Linked DNA regions of Saccharomyces cerevisiae S288C. The protein of the gene in region 1 binds, or shares a complex with, the protein of each later gene. Each region holds a gene or a part of one and is shown on either strand. Other genes may lie near its edges. The genes, in order: BNI5 and GIN4.

What was found.
Region 2: BNI5 (region 1) and GIN4 share a complex: the UniProt entries of both Saccharomyces cerevisiae proteins name them as parts of the GIN4 complex.

Annotation. Positions count from the first base shown.
Region 1 is NC_001146.8:319,938-335,722, forward strand, and holds BNI5 (Bni5p), read right to left. Parts: upstream 3,629-15,785; coding exon 2,282-3,628; downstream 1-2,281. Other genes in the region: SKO1 (Sko1p), read right to left, coding at 1-1,422; YNL165W (uncharacterized protein), read left to right, coding at 3,895-5,115; IBD2 (Ibd2p), read right to left, coding at 5,328-6,383; GTPase RIA1, read right to left, coding at 6,804-10,136; YNL162W-A (uncharacterized protein), read left to right, coding at 10,392-10,610; 60S ribosomal protein eL42 RPL42A, read left to right, coding at 11,385-11,388, 11,901-12,217; serine/threonine protein kinase CBK1, read left to right, coding at 12,660-14,930. UniProt on the Saccharomyces cerevisiae protein: Required for normal septin function and cytokinesis. Its recruitment to the bud neck by CDCd11 and SHS1 ensures efficient localization at the bud neck of MYO1, the type II myosin of the actomyosin contractile ring.
Region 2 is NC_001136.10:1,457,106-1,467,476, reverse strand, and holds GIN4 (protein kinase GIN4), read left to right. Parts: upstream 1-1,690; coding exon 1,691-5,119; downstream 5,120-10,371. Other genes in the region: glutamine permease GNP1, read left to right, coding at 1-1,024; GMC1 (putative oxidoreductase), read left to right, coding at 5,923-7,749; PSP1 (Psp1p), read left to right, coding at 8,257-10,371. UniProt on the Saccharomyces cerevisiae protein: Serine/threonine-protein kinase which regulates the localization and the function of the septins during mitosis. Phosphorylates SHS1.

The DNA.
Region 1 (15,785 bases):
GACCTGAGTTAGATCGTCATATTCAGATTCATAGAATTGTAGATCATTTTCAATTTTCTTGATGTACTCTTTCTTTCTTTTTCTAAATTTAGATGCAGCTACTCTATTTCTTTCTAAAAACTCCTTTCTTTTTCTTTCTTGCTCTTCATTCTCATCAAGTGTTACGTTGTTTGAAATTTTATTATTTTCAACATCATCTTTTTGTGCTGGTGCAGTCGTAACTGCTGAGTTTTTTCTTGATATGGAATTTTTTCTTGAAGCCTTAGAAGTAGAACTTGTGCTAGACATCCTTCTCTTTCTTTTTCGTGTTTTGTTATTGAACTGGTCATTGTTCTCAATTTGAGTCGTTAAATTTTCATTCTCCTTGTGATTATGAGCGGAGTGCTCGATGGCATTGAACTCTGCCGGATTATCCATTTTGACAGCCGCTTTCGTTGAAGTATTTGGGGAAAAATTGGAATTACTGATGCTGTTGTTGACGGTACCATCTGTGGTATTTGTTGTAGGTGTTGATTTGAATACTGGATTAGCCAAAACTCCAGTAGATGGTAAGTTTAGCAGAGAACTCAATCCCGGCGTAAGTGGTGTACCATTTACAGTTGGGTGCATTATATTAACATGAGGGTGGTTTTCAATACTTCCATTCACTGTGACACTTTTGTTGACATTTTTGCTACCTGTTATAGTATTTTTATTAATTGACGGCAATACGGGATAATTGTAAGATTGCGTAAGAATACCGGGTGTCAACCCGGTCCTGATATTGGACTCATTAGGTGTCAACCCAGATTTGGACAAGTTTAATAAAAAGCCAGGCATTTGTGAATCATTCGTGGGGAAGCCGTTACCAGAATTACTTGTGGTCACGTTCGAGTTTCGTGGCTGGCGTATAAGTGAAGTCCCTGAAGGAGAAGAGCTGTTTGGATACAGAGATCCGGAGGTAGAAGAAACGCCTATTGCACTAGGGTTTGAATTAGAGACTGAAACAGAATGTGAATTCTGACTGGGATTCGTAGTTGAATTTGCCTGATATAAAATAGAGGGAGAAAGGAGTAGAGGTGGTAATCTTTTCGACCCACCAGGTGTGAGAATAGGCGGAGATATTATAGTAGGTCTTTGTTGGCCTGGTAAAAAACTAGGTGAGTCTTTTTTTACGTCATTATGATTACTATTATCTGTAACGGTTGAATTCCCATTTTCTTCTGGAATACTGTTCAAACTATGAGTGGAACGTTGGGAATGTTGTGTTATCGTTGAGGTAGAATTGTTTCGTGAAAGCTCTTTTGGTAGAGACGGATGGGAGATCGTGCCTGGAAGTGACAAAGCCTTCTTGGAAGAGGCGAAGCTTTGTTCAAAAGGATTGGGTTCTAAATCGAAAGTTGAAACAGTACTTGGTTGTCTCGAGCGTTCCTCGCTTGACATAATGATTAAGCAGGGTCTAGAGACTGGGCAGGTGTATTTGGAATGCAGAAATTGAAATGAAAAGAATGAAATAAAAATAAAAATCCACGAATTGATTAAGGAACTTATCAAATAATAGAGATCGGTAAAAAGATAGGAATCTAATAAGTGGAAAACTCACTTGAATAATAAAAGAGTTTTTCTCGATAAGAAAACACAATTCACTTTTACGTTGAACCCCTTTGGTAGTAACTTTTCTGAGCTTAAAACCACTCCTGAGCGTTGGCAATGTAGCACCAAATTATTGTGTTTCTGGAGAACAAATTAGTCTCACGTATCAGTAACCAAACTTGGTCCTTTTAACTGGAAAAATGTGCAGTTTGTTTCGAAAACCATCACCGTATGACTGAATTCATTCTATTCAGCCCAGTTAATTTTCGTGATTTTTCCCTTCGATTCTACTTTTTTCCCTCTGCGACAAAGTTAGCAGGGTTATCGCTAGCGCGGTTAAGTACGACTTGGTTTATGAAAGTTCTTAGAGAAAAGAAGACACAACGCCATTGAAATTGAATTCTGGGTACTGTTATTGTTCCGTTTCATGTTATTACAATATAATTGACTATCTGAACATTTTGTCTTCATTTTTTTTTTTTTTTATTATCGTTTTGTTTACGTTTAGGCGAAATACTCACCTCTTTACTATTAAAATAATAGAATTTATCAGAAAAAAAGTCAGCAACATCAAAAATAACAGATGGATGGCTCTAGGATAAAGGATTCTTATTCTCTTACGATTGTCTATGTTCTTTTGGTATTTATTTTAACTTTATATATCTGTCTTAATTTATAAATATTTATAACAACCCTTGGCGTAATGTAATCATTTAGTTCCAATCCAAAATTGGCCATTTTCGCCACGATCAATTTGCTTTCTCAGATGTCTACTTAATAACACTCCGACCTCATATTTCTCCTTCGTTTTCTTGTCAAGATATTCTTGAAGCTTCACTACGGCTCTATGTAGTCTCTTTCCGTCTTCCATAGATAAAGAACCCTGTGCATTCATCTTGTTTAGATAGTCAATTTCCTTTTGTAACTTAATGCATTTCATGGATAAATAATCATGTCTTTTTTCCAGCTTGGCAATACTGCCCAGCTCAGACGCTGATGTGATAGGAGAGGAGACTGGCGAATCATACTTATTTAGTGAAGATTTACGACTTCCGTTTCTTGAATTGGAATTGCTGCTCACCGAGATAACTCTGAACGGATTTGTAGGGCGTCGTGTCTCGAAATTCGCCATTTTTTTCTGTCCATCACCATCTGAATTAAAGTGATTTATATTGGTACCATCTTCTTTAGAATTCTTTTTAGGGATAAAAATTTTAGTTTGAGAATCTAAGGGAGTGCTTCCTCCAGAGCGATTGGGACAATTCTCTGAATTATCGTCATGGGGTGTTTGATCAGCTAAACGGCTGCTCTCATGGTTGTATTCATTGTCACCTCCTACAACTATGGTTTGCGGTTGTATATCTAGATCCTTATTAGCGGAAGAAAATTTGTCTAATACAAGTTCAGCGTCTAACTTGTTCTCACCGCCCAAGGTGTTATTCTGGGGCATGGGTGATTTGAAAGATTCAATCTCACTGTTTTCCTCTGTTCCCTTATCTACTCGCCCCTCTTCAACATCCGATTTTTCATCCTCCCATTCATCATCATTATTTTCGATAATTTCAACATCAGCTTCACCCCTGTTTTGATCTATATTGACTGTACCATCTTCTTTGTTCTCAGTGCAGGAGTCCTTTGCCTTTTCATTTCCAGCGGAATTTGCGACAAATGAATTATAGGAGTCACCAATAGCAATGGCGGTGTGAGTTATCTGCTCTTTCGCTATAAAAGGTTGAGTAACCGATAGCTGGGATGGGTCATCCGTACTCTTATTCGCTTCATTCTCAGTGGGAATATGGACCTGTGCGGTTTTGTGCTCTTCAACCTGAGCTGAATCTCCTGGGTTACTATCCGCTCCATCATTGCCACTAAAAAGAGCCGTTTCTGCCACCTTTACAGCGTCGACCACACCCGTATCCTTGACATTATCTTCGACAGCTTCGTCCTCCGCAGGTTCAACTAATTGTAAATTTTCGTCAATCATCTGGTTCATCTGGTTGATATCTATCTCTATTTGAGAAAGCCTCTTCTTTATCTTGTCCTGGTCCAAGCCCATCGTTTCTGTTGTTCTATTTCACACTAACATAGCATCACCATAACAGTAAATCAAATTACAAAACTATTAATGATTTTTGTTTATTATGAAGTTTGAATTTTCAGCGCAATATTTATTTCATAACGCGTCTAAAATGGTCTGGGTTCTGGGCATCTCTAAAGCCCTTCACTACTAGTGAAGAAGAAGAACAAGTAAGGCTTTTGGAAAAGAAAGAGCATCAAATTGAACGATAGGAGAAGTGCTACATACATTTGCCAAAGATCCGCATGGATAGAGTACGCTCTTTGATTGGAAATCGCCGGGGACGCCGACATAATCGCCAACATCCTCCGTATCCTCACAGTGGGTCTCCATCCACCGTCAATCTCTTGGGAGCTAATGGTTATGGAGACGACCAATCTACAATATTTGCACGAGAAAATGAATCTCTGGAAACCTCTGCCAACGAGGGCGATGATAGTGCGGATGCAGCTACTTTGAATACAGCGGTATCAGAAGGCTCAACAATTGGAGACCTACAAAGACAGGGTTATGTTAACAGAGCCCCAAGATTCACGTCAGAAAGAGCCATGCCATTCGTTTCGGTGCTACTACAACGAGGGTTTTTTGCATTCCCCAGTGAAGAATCTCTCCAGCTATTTTTACACAACAAGAGGAAGCTCGATAACATTGATCCAAAGAGGGGTCTAGGACTTCCCCTATTTCACGCCATTTCTTTAAACCTGGTCAAGTCGCTTTTCAGTGATCAAAATACACCGGTAATGAGGATATATAAATACGTTATGATAGACTCCCAATGCGATAAACCTCCATTAAACTCAGAAGTGGTCTCTCGAATAAACGAAAATGTCTCCATATATAAATATGAATTCTGCACTATTCTAAAAAAAATGGAAAGCCATAATTTTTCGAGCAGGGTAGAGCACGATTTTATATTTCATAGAAAAGATGAACCTGATGTTCATATCCCCATGATTAATTACAATCAAAGGAAAAATGCGGATACGGCAATTCATGGATTAAATCTTCGTTGGTACGGGACAACTAGTTTAGCTTCACCTTTTGGCTCAAATAGCATCAACCTACTTGTACTCGATGATACGATGGCATCCTACATGAACCAACAAACTATTGAAGAGTTTGATTCTTACAGCCGTTCCCGTCCCACAAGACCGCTGGGTTATCTCCCAGTATGGGCCAGATACACAGATGATAAAGTTAGTGTCATACCGAAAAAAAGAACTTTGAGAGTAGCTACCTTGTACTTACAAGAAACTGATTCGTTTGATGATGGCTCTAGTTTAACATCTACCAATTATACTGAAATGGGCTCTAATATCATTGAAAATGTGCCGTGGGATAGTCAGATACTTACTTGCATGTGCATGCTATTACATGAATATGAATCAAGAAAGGAGAAACGCCACACCGCATGGGGCAGCTCGACCACATATATGCTAAATGGACCGGCAGGATTACTGATGTAAACCCATTTGCATTTACTTGTGTTTTTTCCTGTTACTATTTAGTCATAATACCGCTAAGAAGCATATAAATATTCAAAGAGAAATATTGTCGTACACCATTAATTTTTCAATAACTCTTAAATACGTTTAGAATGTCACAAGTTTTCCTCACAAGTTTTCCTCTATTATGTAATGTTCCCTATACTACTTTATTCCTACAGTAATAATGTTGACTATCTATTCCTTTTCCTACTATCTTGTTCATCTCTTGGTGGATTCGGCATACGATTGTAACCAAACGTACGATTATACCACTTTATCATGTTACGTGGTGGTTCACCAAACACCATGTAGTACTCGCAAAATAAACACATGGGACTTGATTCGTTAACTAGGACAGAGAAATCTGGAACACGGTTTTCCGTTCTGGAAATATATTCAAAATCATGATAATAGTAGTTTCGTAGTTTGGATAAGTTTTCATAATGATGATGCGGGCAACAACTTTTATGGTCTCTAGATTCGTCATAAAAGTCATGTCGCCTTACATGCCCATTCTTTTTCGAGTTCTTTGACCTGCTGTGCTTTCTAGAAGATATGGAATGTTGACCGTCTCCATGCAAACGAGCTGCGTCAACGGTATCATGATCGATATCTGTGACTTCTTCTGCAACATCTAAATCCTCTACATTTGTTACAGTTCGCAACCCCCCCTGTTCTTCACTTCCAAACCCTCCCGGTAACACCGATTCTATCATTTGAGAAATCTTTTCCCCTATACCATCCGGTGTATCCAGTTCTTGGCTCTCATAATCGAAAATTATTTCGGCTTCTTCGCCATCCAAGTTAAGTTCTGAGTCTTTAAGATCATCATCTAAAATATTTTGCAAGTCCTCCTCTATTATGAAGTCTGCACTATTTCTAGAAGCTATTTGGCCTATTTTACTTTCAAAGGTTTCCTTTTCCTCTGCGGAATCAATGTGGTATGCACTTTGGCCATCTATTTTCGCAAGTTCATCTTCCAAACTCAACGAGTCCATCTTAGGAAGAGCATCTTTGAGCTCTTCTAACCGTGCATTTGATAAAGCTTTTCCTCCATTTCTTATAACGAATTGCATTGCATGAGGAGCGTTTTGAAAAGCTTGTCTGTCTTGAAGCTGATTGGAAAGAATTTTAGTCAGCGCTTTCACACCTTCTTGCATCATAACGTTTATTGGCATAGGTCCATCCTCTGAAAGTACCTCCACAGATGCATTAGTCGTTCCACTAGATTGGTTTGTAGGTGTCATTTTCTTGATGATATGGCATGAAAATAGAAGAGAAGAGAATATGATTAAAGCTATAAATTCGTCGTAAGAAGCACGATATCAGTAAATATGGATAACAAATTACCAAATATTTAGCAAAGAAATTCCTATTCAGGGTATATGCAAAAAGTGCAATCTGTAGTTCTTGCTGTAGCTCTCGCTTATTTTGCCATTCTCATCGTCCAGATCATCTCAACTTTCTTGTCCCATCGCTAAAACATTCACTCGCGCGAGAGTATGTAGTATATCATAGAATACGTAAGACTGGAAATGCTTGAAAACTGTGCTATTTCATCTCATATTCAAGTGAATATACATACATACATACATATATTTATATATATTTTCAACTAGTGAAAACTATCTATATTAGTCTATGATTCATATAAACCCTAAAAAACCTTAATTCTTTTTCAAAGTACGTTGTTTTTCGGCATTTTCGACAACTTTTTCTTCAATGAATAGACCTTTCCTTCTTCTGATGGCATTCATATGCTTACGGGCAATATTCTCTCTATCTGCTGTATCACCTAGTTCCTCCAATTCTTCTTCTGTGGTTGGGACCCAAAATGGATCTAAATCGATACACTCGAATCCGGAAAATACCAATTGAGGTTGTGCTGCACCAGATGTTCGTTTACGAATATCTTCACTTAAACCGAATGCTTCCACAACGGGCACATGTGCCTCAATTTGAAAAAACGGTGTACCTTCTTTCATTTCTTCAGAAATGATTTTACCATGCCTCTGTAGAATAACGGCATACACTTTTCCAAGTACATCGACAGAGGTTTGAATATCACATGAGTAAATTGCCCACATAATTCTTGGGGACCAGTCTAAAAAGGCCTCATGTATAGCGTCCCTTGTAGAAGTTATCAACCTCCCTGATAAGTCCACAATATGTTGTTGGTAGCGCGGATCTTCAATAGATTCAATTTCGTCTTGTGACATCTTATGTACGCTTTCAACAAGAACACACATTCCCTGTACGGGCTCATTTGCCAGAGGTCCTTCGCTAACAGCCAGTTGGAAGCCATTTTTGATGGAATCTGAATACTCAAAGGCTGCTGGAGTACCTTCAAATAGGCTTCCAAGAAGATTATCCTGCGACAGCAAAATGTTGCACCCAACTCTACTTGGCCCAAAACCTGCTAACTTTACTTTAAACCCACTTAATAGTTCTCTGCTCTTCTCCTCCTGATTTATGACCTCTTCAAAAGCAACGAGTAAAGACTTTTTGTCTAGAAAAGAACTTCCAGTTGATTCTATGACGGGATCCATGCTTGAAGTGGACGTCTTCAAAATGTTTTTAATGCTATTTTGATGTTGAGATAAAAAGTCTGTAACTTTACCGCTTAATGGGAACGTTCTGAATGTAATCTTGTACTGGCTCAATAGTAGTTCATGAACACCCCTTCCCAGCTGTGAATTCTGCGGTGGATTCATATCTGAGGCTGATAAAAATGTTTCCCTATATGGAATAGCCGGTTCAGAATGTGTAATTTCTATTCCTGCAAATCTCTCTGTTAAATCTTTTAGGCATCTTTCTAAATGTAATTCACCGGCCGTACACAGAATGTGTTCACCAGTATTTTCAACGTATGTGTGCACGCAAGGATCTGCTTGATCCAACAACTTTAATCCTCGTACCAACTTGCTCATTTCCACAGGATTGGCTGGCTCCACAGCAACACGAACGATTGGCGTAAAATGGAAATTGACGCCCGCTAGATTGACGCCTTGTACGCCCTTCTCTATCAACGTACCACTCTTTAAAACTTTACCGGCCAGACCACGAATACCGACTATATTTCCTGATGGACAAACGTCCAAAGGAACCAATTCCTTACCCATAAACAAATATAAATGCGTAATAATCGCAGTTTCAATATGCTCCTCTGGACATTTTGGATCATATTTTGGACCCAATACCGAAATCTCCTGACCAACTCTTAGTGTGCCACTGTATATTCTTGCAAATGCTACCAAGCATTCTTCCTTTTCGTCAAAAATATCATCTACTTCATCGTTCACATCCTCTGAAATTTGCTTAATACTCTCCAAAAGTGGATCTTCTTCCTCATATTCAAACATTGAACTTAGAGGGTCATTTGGATCTATGTCAGTTGGTACAAAATCTAGGCCGAAGTTATCTTGACTATCTGAATCATCCTCCCCCTCATATTCAAATTCTAAATCCAAGGCGGAAGAAGGCTCTGAAACAACACAGAAAACATCATTATTTCTTGAAGGTTTTGGCTTTGTCTGTTCTCCTACTTCGGGGGTCATAACGGTATCTTTTGCTCTTTTATATAAATCTGATGTATTTTTAGAATTGTCATTCAAATCCATCATTGCCATATTTTCTACCATACCAGCATGTTTTGCAGCATTAAGTGCTTCCTCACGTGCCTTTCTACTTCTCTCCATCAGCTCATCCGAAGATGCTATCCTCTTAGATTCAACAGGTAATTCTTCTCTAGGAATTGAAAGCATCTTAGATACGTATGCACTAACTGGTCCTTCTTTATCACATGTCTTCATGGCTTTCAGAAGTCTTGGATCCATGGCTGCTGTGTCGGATTCGGAGACCAAAATAGTGTTCAAACGATCGGTTTGTGATTCCAAAGGTGAAGGTAATTTTTCAATAACTGTTAACAATACTGCTGTGCTGACGGGTAGCCATTGACCCATGATAGTTCTTAACAATTGTTTATCGTCCTTCGACCTTAGATCACGTGCAAGTAGCTTAATATTTAAAGTTTTTGCTATTTTTTCGACCATTTCAGAATCTCTCGATGTGATTATGTTTTGATAAATTTTCCATATATTTTCGAGGATTAGCGATGTGAAAAGGGGTTTCAGGGATCTTCCCTTAAGGCCTTTATTGTTAATAATTTTTTTTGTCTTGGGATCCATATAGAAATCACCCCATAAAACTTTCTGTAGGTTTTCCCTTTTAGCGCCTAATTTTTGTTCGTAAAATTTGGCCAATTGACCGATGTTGAAACCCCAACCATCAATTGCGGAAGCAAAAATAACGTTGTTATCAGTAGGGTTAAAGTAAATACCCGAATCATCCTTTTCAATATATTCCGCGTTTTCGTTCTTTTCTAATTGCTCCCTCCAAAATAAATCATCCAATTGTCTCTCGTTTGCGAAAAAGGACCCGATAACTGAGTTGACTTGTTCAATGACTTTGGACAAGTGAATATAAGCTTCTTGGGGAGTTAGTTGTAGTTCTGTGATCAATCTATCAATCTTATTCAATACTAAAATGGGCTTCAGCTTCTCCGTCCAACATTGTCTCAACACTGTGACGGTTTGCGAGCATACCCCCTCTACGACATCAACCAGTACGACAGCACCATCACATAGTCTTGAAGCTGCACTGACCTCACTTGAAAAATCAATGTGACCTGGGGAATCAATTAAGTTTACTAGATGCTCGCTTACAAGAGGCTCATCGGAACCTTCTTGTTTACGCAATACCCTAAAATATAAAGAGATAGCCGATGATTCCATTGTGATACCACGTAGTTGTTCGTCAGGCCTGGCATCTAAGAATCGAATTTTGCCGGCAAGCCTTTGTGATATAATACCATTCGAAGCCAAAAGAGAATCTGAAAGTGAAGTTTTACCGTGATCAACATGAGCAACAATACATATATTTCTTATACAGGAAGGGTCATTTTGCAGACGTTTGTAAGTCTCCGATTCCACTCTAGGCATATTTGCTTATCGTGCTTAGAAAAATAACTGAGTTTGGTTATTTTATAAACTATTTTGATAATCTTGATGATGTACAAAGATTGTATTTCGGGTGCACCTATCTATCAATATTCTTGGCTCTTAAGTTCCCATTTTTCAAAATTTCTTTTCTCGTAGGAAAAAGAAAAAGGAAGCGATGAGCTGAAAATTCCACTTTACAATATATCGAATATCCAGTATACCAAAACTACATACAAACGAACACGTCATTAAAAGATGTCTGATAAGCCCGACTCCCAAGTATTTTGTCCAAATTGCAATGAAAGACTTCAAAAGTGTTTAGTACAGCAAAATTATGCCATTATAATATGTCCCAGCTTAGTCTGCGGCTACCCATTCAATCAAAGAGAAGTACTCGAAAATCTAACGTATGTAGACGATAATGACGTCTTAAAAGTTGCAAAAAAAAGATTATCTTCACGAAGCAAACCATAAAATAGTTGCACTATTGCTGTTCATTATCTTTCATTATCCCTAGTAACGCCATTGCAGAGTCAAATATGAGCGATAACAATATAAAGAGCAATAACATGATAGTTGAAATTAACATAAAAGAAGCGACATAATTAAAGGTCTCAAAGAGTGAAGATCAAGTATCCGGTTTTTACGAATAATCTACTTTCTATGTGAAACCCAAAAAAGTTCGTACAAGGAAAACTAAAAAGTGTGTAATAACTTGTCTAGCTTTGGCATTAAAACTTGTCAATTATTCATCACCAATATAGACTAATGCGTTTTGGAACGCCAAACCGCAGTGACAAATAGCAAATATGTAGCTGTCATATCGGCATATAATAACAGTTTTCTACCAAATGCTGTCCTACATTCAGAGATCTTACATCCTTACATCTAAAGTAAAACCTAGACATTTACTTCGAGTTATACTTTTTTTTTATTTATCTATTTTTTCTCTTGCGGACATTTAACACCTGAATTCCGCCTAACGCCAGGACTGATCCTGCCAGGGAAGGGAGCTTTGTCTAGTGCCAATAGGCCGGACCAGTAGGAAGGTTACAGCAGCTGGCCCGCAGAGTGATTGGGTCACAGGAAATAGCGCAACCTTCTCTTTTGCCCGGGAAAGGCGGTTCAATCTACCTTCGAAGGGCTAGTACATGAGCGCGAAGGAGGCAGATAATAGCACCATTAAGTGGTCCAAATGCATCTTGAAATCTAATCCTTAATAGAGGAAAACAACAATTATCAGTAAAAATGGGTATGTTATAACCATAATTCCTAATGGTGAATAAAATCAGGACCAATAAAGAAAAGCTAATTTGATTTTTATTGTCAATGAAATTTCATAATCGTCATGAATGCATAAACAGACACACCTAGCAACTGTATAATCTGCGCCTAAAAAGGGCGTATACACAAAACTAAACGATGCGCAATAAAAGTTCAGCAGTCAGCAATGAAACCGAGATATGCAGCAACAGAGTATCATATGCATGGAGGATCCTTTCTGTTTTTCTGATAATATGCTCTGAAAAAGCTCCAAACAGCACAGTAGCCTATTTGTGAAGCTCAAAAAAGGCTTCTATTTCCCTCGCTATCTTCAGATTGTGCAGTGATATTCTTTGAGGAAGGAAACGTAGAGGGGATAAGTTGGATAACTGTTATTTCTTTTCAATATGCTAGATTTTGCTTACCACCTTACTGATTTTTTCTAATAATAAACTTTTTTACTAACATTAGTACGATGTCTCATCTATTTCTTCTATTTAGTTAACGTTCCAAAGACCAGAAAGACCTACTGTAAGGGTAAGACCTGTCGTAAGCACACTCAACACAAGGTTACTCAATACAAAGCTGGTAAGGCTTCCTTGTTTGCCCAAGGTAAGAGACGTTATGACCGTAAACAATCTGGTTTCGGTGGTCAAACCAAGCCTGTTTTCCACAAGAAAGCTAAGACTACCAAGAAGGTTGTTTTGAGATTGGAATGTGTCAAATGTAAGACCAGAGCCCAATTGACCTTGAAGAGATGCAAGCACTTCGAATTGGGTGGTGAAAAGAAGCAAAAGGGTCAAGCTTTGCAATTCTGAATCTCTTTATGGGTTTCGCTTTTGTATTTTCTTTGCTTTAAAATCTGATATAATTACATATTATTACAATATAAAACTTTACGATAATTCCTGCAACTAATGATGCGTTAGTACGGTTCGGGCGCTCTAGGACGCGTGTCGGTCGGGTAACCATCATTCTTATTCGACGAAAATGATTAGTTTCCAGAGAAGCAGTTGCACTCCAGTTTGATCTGCAGTCCAGCGACTATTTTTAACATTCAAAGATCATTTTTCGTTTGAATAGTTGAGCAAGGTCATATAAATTTCTATATCACACGAATAAGGGTTCAGATATTGCTTTATTATCGGCGAACACTGATATTACCACATAGATATCGCTCTTTTTTTGAAACGTAAGCGTAAATTTCAGTATAGGTACACGTCTGCGCTGATCCTTCTGTAATCCTCTGCAGTTTTCGCAATGTATAATAGCAGCACCAATCATCATGAGGGTGCACCTACTTCAGGACATGGCTATTATATGTCCCAACAACAAGACCAACAGCATCAACAACAACAACAATACGCCAACGAAATGAATCCGTATCAGCAAATTCCTAGACCGCCTGCTGCAGGATTTAGTAGCAACTACATGAAAGAGCAAGGCTCTCATCAATCGTTACAAGAGCATTTACAACGTGAGACAGGTAACCTTGGCAGCGGTTTTACAGACGTTCCAGCCCTGAATTATCCAGCCACACCACCACCACATAATAATTACGCAGCTTCAAATCAGATGATCAATACCCCACCGCCGTCGATGGGTGGTCTTTATAGACATAATAATAATTCCCAGAGCATGGTTCAGAACGGTAATGGGAGTGGGAATGCACAATTACCCCAATTATCACCGGGCCAATATTCTATAGAGTCAGAGTACAATCAAAATTTAAATGGCAGTTCTTCTAGTAGTCCGTTCCACCAACCGCAAACGCTACGGAGCAATGGGTCATATTCAAGCGGGTTAAGGAGTGTGAAAAGCTTCCAGAGGTTACAACAAGAACAGGAAAATGTCCAAGTTCAGCAACAACTTTCCCAAGCACAGCAACAAAATTCCCGGCAACAACAGCAACAACTTCAATACCAGCAGCAGCAACAACAACAACAACAACAGCAACATATGCAAATACAACAACAACAACAGCAGCAACAACAGCAGCAGCAATCACAATCTCCCGTTCAGAGCGGCTTTAATAATGGTACCATATCAAACTATATGTACTTTGAAAGACGACCAGATTTGTTGACTAAAGGAACGCAAGATAAAGCAGCAGCTGTAAAGTTGAAGATTGAGAACTTTTACCAATCCTCTGTTAAATACGCCATTGAAAGAAATGAAAGAAGAGTGGAGTTAGAAACAGAACTAACTTCTCATAATTGGTCAGAAGAAAGGAAATCTAGGCAATTGAGTTCTTTGGGTAAAAAAGAGTCACAATTTTTAAGGCTGCGTAGAACGAGATTATCGTTAGAAGATTTCCACACTGTGAAAGTCATTGGAAAAGGGGCATTTGGTGAAGTCAGACTGGTTCAGAAGAAAGACACCGGAAAAATATATGCAATGAAAACTTTATTAAAATCCGAAATGTACAAAAAGGACCAATTAGCACACGTCAAGGCTGAAAGGGATGTTCTGGCTGGAAGTGATTCTCCATGGGTGGTTTCGCTATATTACTCATTCCAAGATGCTCAATACTTATATTTAATCATGGAATTTTTGCCCGGTGGTGATTTGATGACCATGCTAATCAGGTGGCAACTATTTACAGAGGATGTTACTAGATTTTACATGGCTGAGTGTATTTTGGCCATCGAAACCATTCATAAATTAGGATTCATTCACAGAGATATTAAACCAGATAATATTTTGATCGATATTAGAGGTCATATAAAATTATCTGATTTCGGGTTGTCTACGGGGTTCCATAAAACTCACGACTCAAACTACTATAAAAAGCTTTTGCAACAAGATGAGGCAACTAATGGTATTTCCAAGCCAGGTACTTACAATGCAAATACAACCGATACTGCAAATAAAAGGCAAACAATGGTTGTGGATTCTATTAGTCTAACAATGTCAAACAGGCAACAAATTCAGACATGGAGAAAATCACGTCGTTTAATGGCATATTCTACCGTAGGTACACCAGATTATATTGCTCCTGAGATATTTTTATACCAAGGTTATGGGCAAGAGTGTGATTGGTGGTCACTTGGAGCAATTATGTACGAGTGTCTGATTGGTTGGCCTCCATTCTGTTCCGAAACTCCACAGGAAACGTACAGAAAAATCATGAATTTTGAGCAAACTCTACAATTTCCTGATGATATTCATATCTCTTATGAAGCCGAAGATCTAATCCGTCGACTATTAACTCATGCAGACCAAAGACTTGGTAGACATGGTGGTGCAGATGAAATAAAAAGTCATCCATTTTTTCGCGGTGTTGATTGGAATACAATCAGACAAGTAGAAGCACCGTATATACCAAAGTTGAGCTCCATCACCGATACTAGGTTCTTCCCAACCGATGAGTTGGAGAATGTTCCAGATTCCCCAGCTATGGCACAAGCTGCCAAACAAAGGGAACAGATGACAAAGCAAGGTGGAAGTGCGCCAGTCAAGGAAGATTTACCTTTTATTGGCTACACTTACTCCAGATTTGACTATTTGACAAGAAAAAATGCGTTGTAGGGACGCGTTAAGGACATTCCTCTTTATTCAAGTATTTATCTATGGATGTAGAACGCACATTATGAATAAATAACTGCACTTTTTTCGGGAAAAAAATTACCAAAATAGACATCAGCTTTATCATATGTCTCCTTGAAGTATTTGAACGACCACCTTTCCGAAGACAATGTACCTAGTAACCTACAGGCTGCCCTTAATCCATACATCCACGCACAATAGCACAATCTCGGTGATGGCTGGTTTTTTTACCTTGAAAAACAAGAAAAATGGCTGATGTAGTTGAAAAAGGTAAAAGAGATGGCAGATCAGGGGACGATTTTGTAGAGGAAGTATCTATATATATCGACCATATTGAAAAAAATATGAAATAACATACACACGTGTAAGAATATATAATTTTTGTTATTAACACGTCGTAAAAGAGAAAAGATCGTGCTTTCATCACGCGCTTCCTCTCGGCCTTTCGAACTATAAATTATAAGATGATCCAGTCTTACAATACTGAATGAAACTCAGGGAAGACGATAGCGGAGGTTCGACAACCGATCACTGTAAAACCTACACTTTCAAGTTCATTAATCGTCGCTTGAAAGATCGTCATAACCAAATATTGCTAGAAACAAAAGCGTTCGGGATAGGTCAAACCATGATGAACTAGTTCCACACGCATATCTTAAAGCGTGCTATTTTTTAAAAAGGGCAAATTTAGGAATGTCTGACGGAATCCCTAATCATCTTTGGCTTTTCCCTTCACTCCCTTCTTTTACCGACGATGGTTTGAAGGAAAGAGAAAAATGAGCAATAGGAAAATTCAGTAGTCGATTTCCATTTCAATTCCCTATTGGGTAATGTGGC
Region 2 (10,371 bases), on another chromosome or scaffold:
CAAATATTGGCGTGATCCCGGAGCCTTCCGTGGTGATACACCCATCCAGAGGTTCAAAGGTGTCGTTGCCACATTTGTCACAGCAGCGTTCGCCTTTGGTATGAGTGAACAGCTGGCTATGACTGCCAGTGAACAATCCAATCCAAGAAAGGCTATTCCATCGGCGGCAAAGAAAATGATTTATAGAATTCTGTTTGTGTTCTTGGCGTCTTTAACGTTAGTTGGTTTCCTTGTACCTTACACCTCAGATCAATTGCTAGGGGCCGCAGGTTCAGCCACTAAAGCGTCGCCCTACGTCATCGCTGTCTCCTCTCATGGTGTTCGTGTGGTTCCTCATTTCATAAACGCTGTCATCCTGTTGTCTGTTCTTTCCGTTGCTAACGGTGCCTTCTATACCAGTTCTCGTATTTTGATGTCGTTGGCCAAACAAGGTAATGCACCCAAATGTTTCGATTACATCGATAGGGAAGGTAGACCTGCTGCTGCTATGCTTGTCAGTGCATTATTTGGTGTCATTGCATTCTGTGCCTCATCTAAAAAGGAAGAGGACGTTTTCACCTGGTTGTTAGCAATCTCCGGTTTGTCTCAATTATTCACGTGGATTACCATTTGTTTGTCTCACATTAGGTTTAGAAGAGCTATGAAAGTGCAAGGAAGGTCCTTAGGAGAGGTTGGTTATAAATCTCAAGTCGGTGTCTGGGGGTCGGCTTACGCTGTCCTTATGATGGTGTTAGCTTTAATCGCCCAATTTTGGGTTGCCATTGCCCCAATTGGTGGAGGAGGTAAGTTAAGTGCCCAATCATTTTTTGAGAATTATTTGGCTATGCCAATCTGGATTGCTTTATACATCTTTTACAAAGTTTGGAAAAAAGATTGGAGTTTATTCATTCCCGCTGATAAAGTAGACTTAGTTTCTCATAGAAACATCTTTGATGAAGAATTATTAAAACAAGAAGATGAAGAATATAAAGAGAGATTAAGAAACGGACCATACTGGAAAAGAGTTCTTGATTTCTGGTGTTAAAGCAGAAATCACGATTCAAAAAAAAAAAAAAAAACTTGAAGAAACAATTCAATTAGCATATTATTTCAAATCCCAGCCTTCCTACACGCTCTTCCTGTTTTATCTCTTTCCTTTCATTCTCCCGTCCCCCTCATTCATGTATTTCTTATTTCATTATACTATTTAACTCTTTAAATATTCTATGTACTTTGTGCAAACATCATTGTCATCACATAAATGCATTCCTACTATTACTAACTTGAACTTCACTTCACTGGAAGAACTGGGTTATTCAAGGTAAAGAAATCATTTGTTTTGCGCCAAGTTTCGTCTGACAAGAATTTTTTATTATTATTTCCCACTTTTCATCGAAGGAAACGCGTCAAATCCATTCGTTACTACGCGCAATCTGCGTTATTTCCTTTTTCGGCATACCATCGCGAAATATCAACGGCCACACCATAGATTCCTTTTGATGTTAAATTAAAAGCGACTGAATGAAGTGCACACATTTTTTATTTCTTCTTGATTTTCTTTTCTATTTTGTTTTGCTTTCTCTTCTGTCGACAACGTCTCAACTGTACTCACCATTAGTATTCTCGAAGGCTTTAGCAGACTTGTGAATAATTAATTGCCCACTTTGATCAAGAAAGATATTCGCAGCACAATACAATAATAACATTCAAAATGGCAATCAATGGTAACAGTATTCCTGCCATAAAGGATAATACCATCGGTCCATGGAAACTAGGTGAAACTCTCGGTCTAGGGAGCACTGGTAAAGTCCAGCTTGCTCGTAATGGATCCACAGGACAAGAGGCGGCAGTTAAGGTAATATCAAAAGCAGTATTCAATACCGGTAATGTCAGCGGTACTTCGATTGTTGGCTCCACCACCCCAGATGCTCTACCATATGGTATAGAACGCGAAATAATCATTATGAAGTTGTTAAACCACCCAAATGTGTTACGTTTATATGATGTCTGGGAAACAAATACAGATTTATACCTTGTTTTAGAATACGCGGAGAAAGGTGAGTTGTTCAACTTATTGGTTGAGAGAGGTCCTCTGCCAGAGCATGAAGCTATCAGGTTTTTTAGACAAATTATTATTGGTGTGTCGTACTGTCATGCGTTGGGTATTGTCCATCGTGATCTAAAACCGGAAAATCTATTATTAGATCATAAATATAACATCAAGATTGCAGATTTTGGTATGGCTGCTTTGGAAACTGAAGGAAAGCTACTGGAGACGTCGTGCGGATCACCACATTATGCTGCACCAGAAATTGTATCTGGTATACCGTATCAAGGTTTCGCAAGTGATGTGTGGTCATGCGGTGTGATCCTATTCGCCCTTCTTACTGGTCGGTTACCCTTTGACGAGGAAGATGGAAATATAAGAACACTATTACTTAAAGTTCAAAAAGGTGAGTTCGAAATGCCTTCTGATGATGAAATTTCGCGTGAAGCTCAGGATTTGATTAGAAAAATCTTAACCGTTGATCCTGAAAGAAGAATCAAGACCAGAGATATACTCAAACATCCGCTATTACAAAAATATCCAAGTATAAGAGATTCTAAAAGTATTAGAGGCTTACCAAGAGAAGACACATATCTCACGCCATTATCAGAAAGTAATTCTTCTATTGACGCTACGATTTTGCAAAATTTAGTAATATTATGGCATGGAAGAGATCCTGAAGGAATTAAGGAAAAACTAAGAGAACCTGGCGCTAATGCAGAAAAGACATTATATGCACTACTGTATAGATTTAAGTGTGACACTCAAAAAGAGCTTATTAAGCAACAGCAAGTTAAGAAGAGGCAGTCAATTAGTAGCGTTTCTGTTTCCCCATCTAAAAAAGTATCGACAACTCCACAACGCAGAAGAAATAGAGAATCTTTAATTAGTGTAACATCTTCTCGTAAAAAGCCAATATCCTTCAACAAATTCACTGCCTCCAGTGCCTCCTCCAGCAATCTAACTACACCCGGTTCTTCAAAACGCCTTTCAAAAAACTTCTCTTCAAAGAAGAAATTATCTACAATCGTTAACCAATCTTCTCCAACACCAGCATCACGTAATAAAAGAGCTTCGGTTATAAATGTGGAAAAGAATCAAAAAAGAGCCTCTATCTTTTCTACTACCAAGAAGAACAAAAGATCTTCTAGATCTATCAAGAGAATGTCATTGATACCAAGCATGAAACGTGAATCGGTGACAACAAAATTAATGTCAACATATGCGAAATTGGCAGAGGATGACGATTGGGAATACATTGAGAAGGAAACAAAGAGAACGAGCTCAAATTTTGCAACTTTGATAGATGAAATTTTTGAGTACGAAAAGTACGAACAAATAAGGAAAGAGAAGGAAGAGCTAGAACGTAAAGTGAGAGAAGCAAAAGCACGTGAAGAGCTGGAACGTAGAAGACGTAAACAAGAAGAAAAAGAACGTGCAAGAAAATTACTAGAAAAGGAAGATCTGAAAAGAAAACAGGAGGAACTCAAGAAGCAAATTGAAATTGATATAAGTGATCTAGAGCAAGAGCTGTCCAAACACAAAGAGGAAAAACTGGATGGTAATATTAGATCTATCTCTGCTCCTATGGAAAATGAAGAGAAAAATATCAATCATTTGGAGGTTGATATTGACAATATTCTCCGTCGCCGCAACTTTTCTTTACAAACTAGACCTGTGTCAAGGCTTGATCCGGGTATAATGTTCTCCAGTCCAACTGAGGAAGTAAGTCCAGTGGAACCAAAGAGAACAGAAAATGAAAGACTTACAACAGAAAAGAAAATTTTAGAAACTATCAGAAGATCAAAATTCTTGGGTTCATCATTTAATATCGATAAAGAGTTGAAATTGTCTAAAATGGAATATCCAAGTATAATTGCACCACAAAGATTGTCAGAGGAGCGAGTGGTGTCAGATTCTAATGATGGATATGAATCTTTGATCCTCCCGAAGGATGGGAATGGCGTATCTCAATTAAAGGATAGTACCGCAACAACTGCTCCCGTCTCTGATGGTAGGTTGAGGAAGATCTCTGAAATTAGAGTACCACAATTTACTAGAAAATCAAGGCATTTTAGTGAGTCCAATAAAAGGCTATCTGTCCTGTCGATGTACTCTACCAAGGAGTCGTTTACCAACTTGGTTGATATTTTGAAAAACGGTAACCTTGATGTCAATAACCAACAAAGCCAAAGAATTCCAACACCAAGAAGTGCGGATGATTCAGAATTTCTTTTTGAAACTGTCAACGAAGAAGCTGAATATACAGGAAATAGTTCGAACGATGAGAGATTGTACGATGTCGGTGATTCCACTATCAAAGACAAATCCGCGTTAAAGCTGAACTTTGCAGATCGTTTTAATGGATCGAACGAAGCGAAACAAACTGATAACTTACATCTTCCGATCCTTCCTCCGCTTAATGGTGACAATGAATTGCGTAAACAGAATAGCCAAGAGGGTGACCAGGCACATCCAAAGATTAAATCGATGATACCAGAATCAGGCTCTTCTTCACATACTGAAAAGGAAGAAGAAAATGAGGAAAAGGAAGAGAAAAAGCCAGAACAACACAAACAAGAAGAGGATCAAGAAAAAAGAGAGAAAGTAGTAGATGATATGGAGCCACCATTGAACAAATCTGTGCAAAAAATTAGGGAAAAAAATGCTGGCTCGCAGGCAAAGGATCATTCAAAAGATCACTTAAAAGAGCATAAGCAGGATAAAAATACAGCAATTGGAAATGGTTCCTTCTTTAGAAAATTCTCAAAATCTTCGGACAAAACAATGGAATTGTATGCCAAGATTTCTGCAAAACAATTGTTTAATGGTTTAGAGAAGCTGTTGCGTGGTTGGACTCAGTATGGTTTAAAAAATATAAAATCGCACCCCAACAATCTGACCTTAACGGGTAAACTATCGAGTGATAATATATTCTCACTACGTTCAACACTCTTTGAGGTTAATATTTATCCGAGAGGTAAGATGAGCGTTGTGCAGTTCAAGAAAGTTTCTGGTTCATTCAAAGCTGTCAAAAAGTTGGTCAATGAAGTTGAGAACGTCCTGAATAAGGAAGGCGTTCTACAAAAATAGTGCTAATGTAATGCAATCATGTTTTGTCTCCTTCGTTTTGTTCTGCCATAATATTTCGCTCATATTATTTTTGCTTATTTTTTCCCCTCCGTATTAATACTTTAAATAACAATCTAATGGAGGTACTGGACTCTATGTACTATTATATTTACCCTTAAAATATCGTGTTGATTACTATTTGTATAACCGTTTGTTTTTCTAACTATATATGAAAGAAAAGTAGTTATAGTTATAGTAGTTGAAGATTTAAAAGCTATTTGCCCTCTTTGGGATTAAAGTAAGAGCTAAACATAAATTATGTAACAGTTTAATTTTCCGAACATTAATTGTTGTTAAAGGCTTTAATATCAAGTATACTGAATATGCTAGAAGTTCCACTCAAGCATATAAGAATATCTGCCTAAATTATTATTTATCACTACAACTTGGCTACAAATTATGAACAATGAGGCCGACAAGAAGTTACTCTCTTAAAAAATGGGATATGATATATACAAACATATGATACAAAAATTTCAACAAATAAGTGGTTGTTTGGCCGAGCGGTCTAAGGCGCCTGATTCAAGAAAAAATCTTGACCGCAGTGAACTGTGGGAATACTCAGGTATCGTAAGATGCAAGAGTTCGAATCTCTTAGCAACCAATATTTTTTAGTTTACATTTTTTTCGGGGATAGTCATAGAGGATCCACCTTCATCTCAGCTGTCCACATTAAGGCCAAAGCTAATAAAGTGGCACATACTGGGCGGTTAAACAAAGTTATTAAGTAATTATTGCAAAACTCCGTGGACAACTTGTTTAGAATGAAGGTCATTCTCCTTAAGCCGGTTCAGTTGCCAATGCTACTCTTAATACTATTAAAATTTATTATGGCCGCTAAGGAAGGCAAAATACATGTCTTAGAATTCAATGCGAGCAGTGAATACACGCTTGATAAGAGAAGAGTTATCTCCATAAATGGCTACAGCGCTACATTTGGCCCAGAAATTCGAGTTAAATCCGGTGACACTCTTAACTTGAAATTGACTAACTGGATATGTTCAGAAGAAGAAGCTAGTAAAGACAGTGATGTTTGGAAGGATTACTGTTCAACAGCTTTACATTTTCATGGGGTGGTACCTTTAGCAAATGAATTTGATGGAATTCCAGGTTTAACACAGCCCACTATTGGATATGGAGAAAGTTATTGGTATAATTTTACCATTGATCAATCAACCTGTGGTACTTTTTGGTACCATTCGCATTCATCAGTACAATACGGTGACGGTATGAGAGGTGTTCTGATAGTTGAATGCGATGATTATGATAATCATGTGGCAAATACTATTAATTCTGTGAGAGACATAGAGACACTAGATGACGGTGTTGTTACAATGAAAAAAGATAAACACACGAAGGAATTGACGGATTATGAAGTTCAAGAAAGGATTATCACTTTGAGTGATTGGTATACCAATTGGAATTTGGACATTTTAAACGACAAGGTTTTGTCATCTACCGGGGGTACAGATCCCAAATTTGATGGATCATTAATAAATGGAAAATCATCTGACGGTGAAACTATCAAAATAGGATTTAACACCGAGTATCTTCTTTTGAGAATCGTAAACTCAGGAATGTCTGGTACTCAAGTCTTTCACCTTGATGGATTCCAATTAATTGTTCTAGAAGCCGACGGGATTATGATTAAACCGTTCATTGTACAAACGATAAATTTAGCGGTCGGACAAAGATATACAATTTTGGTCAAACTAAAGTCTGACACTAGTTTTATTCGTATGATTAATGGCTGTAACAAAATGATGGGTTATATAACAAAACAGTGGTGGTTTTACAAAGAAGGCGCTCATTTGGACCTACCAAAGAACCCCAATGACGTTTCCATCGAACACTTGCCTGGTTTCACTAAGGCCGAGCTTTATCGCGACATAGAACCAACGCAAGAAGAGAATAAAAAGTTACGCACAAAGGCTGATCCTGTTGCAGTTTTCGAATTCGATTATGCTTATTACAAAGATGAAAGCACGAAACAAAAGTATGGGACTGGGATGTATAAGGTGAACGAACGGACATTCAGCGAGTACGTAAAAGACCCGGTAAGGTTCGGATTCAACGAAACATATGATATTGTAATCAACTCACTGGACCACATGAGACACCCATGGCATATGCATGGCCATCACTTCCAGATAATATCTCTTGGCAATAAAGGTGATGGCCCATTTCACAAAGACGTACAAGAGGGCAAGGCATGGAGCCGCTATCAGAACGATTTACGTCACCTGGCCCGAACCGGAAAGGCACCGATGGTAAGGGATAGCATTAACATTGCAGGAAATTCTTACGCGGTTTTGAGAATTAACACCGAGATGCCCGGAAAATGGCTTTTACATTGTCATGTGGAGTGGCACATGATGAAGGGGCTTGGCATTGTCTTTGAGGTTCCGACAACAACCGAGGACAGTACCAAACAAGCAACTACAGCTGTATTATCGTACCCTACCAAGGAACCTGACCCTAACACTGTTGTCCATACAGCCGCACTTGAACAAAATAAGTCCAAGGTAATAGCCGTCTACATCCTAATCATGTGTGCGGTTGATGCTATCTTCTACTGGTTGCTCATGTAATCACATCCATTTCTCCCAACTCATTGCTTTTTTTCGCTTTTCCCACAGCCGTTTACAAGGCCGCAAAAAAGAAAACCCGCAAAGCTGACGGAAAAAGTATCGGCTAGCTTTCCATTGGCGACAATCGCCTCCGAGTGCGAAAACCTGTATTTCTCTGACTGCCGTAGGTCATATAGGATTGGGTCATAACGGTTTTTTGGAGACGAATCCTTCCCCTAATCGTGTTGGATAACATTACGGATCCGTGTTTTAGCTAAAGGAACAAAACAAAAATAAATAAAGGATAAGAAGAAGGATTCACTGATAATTAAGAGCTGTATTTTTCATTGGTTCGGCAGTTAGAAACAGAGATAGCATCAGTTCGAGTGTTCTTTGATATAGTAAACAGCGTATATAGAAAAGAATAAAGTGTATTGAAAGGCTCAAGAGAATTATAGAGAAAAAAACGAAGGATAAATCAAAAAAAGCGGTGTCTGATACAGTGCTCAATAGAAATACAGTTGCAAAATGGACCTCCCAACTGTTAATAGCACAACAAGCATTTCCGACAATGTGGATTTAAAGAACTACTATGAGGACTTGCTTTTCAAGAATAACAGCGGAAAATCGCTATCCGATTTACCCCGTAAACTGAATGATAACTCCAATAATTCAGGAAGTGATACGGTTGATCCGCTTGCTGGCCTGAATAATTTGAGAAACTCAATAAAAAGTGCGGGAAATGGTATGGAAAACAGGAGGACTTTTGACGATATTGATTTTATGGGTAGGTTTCCGTATTTGCCACCAGTGCCAAATCAACAACAGCAACCGTTTTCTCACCAGAACGGGTTCATTCAAGAACACCCTTCCAGTAATTTGACCTCTTTTCAAATGTCTTCGTCTAATTCAGAGCCGATGTCCGCACCGCCCATTTCATCCAATAACAATAATTTAAACTCTACTCAAATGGGTAATTATCAAGCTCAACAACGGTCGTTCCCGCAATTTAATGGAAATTCATTTCATTCAAATGGAAACGACCTAATGGGGAATCGGATGGATTCAGACTACATGCGTTTAATGAATAAAACAAACATAGGTTTTACTTCCAATAGCGGCAGCAATTTTGCTGCCCCATCACACAGTGCTGGCAACCCATCTAGTATGAACAACCAACAAGTACCATCATTTAATTGGCAACAGCCATCTCATCCAGAGTCTACCATTAGGAGATCCTCCTACATATCAGATACTCTAATCAACCATCAAATGCCTGACGCTCGGCAAAAGCAAACATCCCAAGTGCAGCAGCAACACGCTCAAGGTTTCAATCTTTTCAATAGCAGATTCAACTATGACAACTTGAACTCAACCCATTTGACCGCCAAAGGTGTGCCCGAGTTTGGAAATGGTGTACAACCTCCGTATCCTTATGATAACGAGCCTAATAATGCCAGTATCAGCAATAGTAATAACAACAACAACAGTCACAATATGGTTCCAATGCAACAGTTTCGCCGGAATACACAACCGGTAGCGAGCTTCAATCCATCCCTTCCTACTTTTCAACAACAACAGCAACAACCACAACAACCACAACAACCAAGAAACGTTAATGTACCTACTTCTTTCAATGGCGAACGTGTTGATGATGTTCAGCTTGTTCAACTTCAAAGAAGCAGTTCTGTCCCTTCTTCTACAAACTCACATAACCTTCAGAACGAGAACAGCAATGAAGGAAATGTATCTTTGGACAATGGTTTAGTTTTAATTCAGGGTAAACACTTGACTTCGTCCAAAACCTTACACGATTTATACAGCGACTGTGGCAGCGGCTATTTTGCTAGCTCTGCAGTTTTTGAATTCACAGATAATATTAAGAAAATGCTGAAGTTGCACGATTCTAATGAAAGTTACGACGCGAAGAACATGGGCTTAATCGATGAAGAAGGTAATACATACCAATCTTTATTAAATTTCTTGGACATTTTAAGAAGTTGCAACATGAATTACGTTAATGATCCAGAGTCGAATAATGGAATTGTTTCCAATAATGGAGGCAATAAAAATAGGAGGAAGGGCTCTTTCACAACAGAACTATCATGCAGGAATGCTAATAACTCCTTTTTACCTTATACACCATTGGTACTGGTTGCTTTGAAAAATGGGAAACTTGAACTACTATCTACTCCACAAGCTACCAATTTGTTGTTAAAGAGAGGTGACTTGGTTATTATTGATGGTGACCGTGGAAGGGATTTAGTATTGGTTGTTGAGCCCTCTGTCGATTTGAATTTAGCATTATTTATAAATTTTCTGAAAAAGAAAATTCACTTTGACTCTTTAATTACAAGTGAGTCACAGCACTATCGCAATGATGAGTTTATTCAAATGTTGATTGACTCAAAAAATGGGCAAAAGAAAAAATTAAATCCCAAATTGTATGATGTTGTTGAATTAACTGAGTTAATCATACCATCTAAACAAGTCTTACGTTTTGCCACCCCGTGGGAGGTAACAACGAATTTGCACAATAAATTTGAAGATGAATTAAAAGCCTTGCATATTGCTCAGAGTAAATTACAAGCGTTAAATGATAATTCAAAATCTCAAAATACAAATGACAGTTCTTCCAATAAT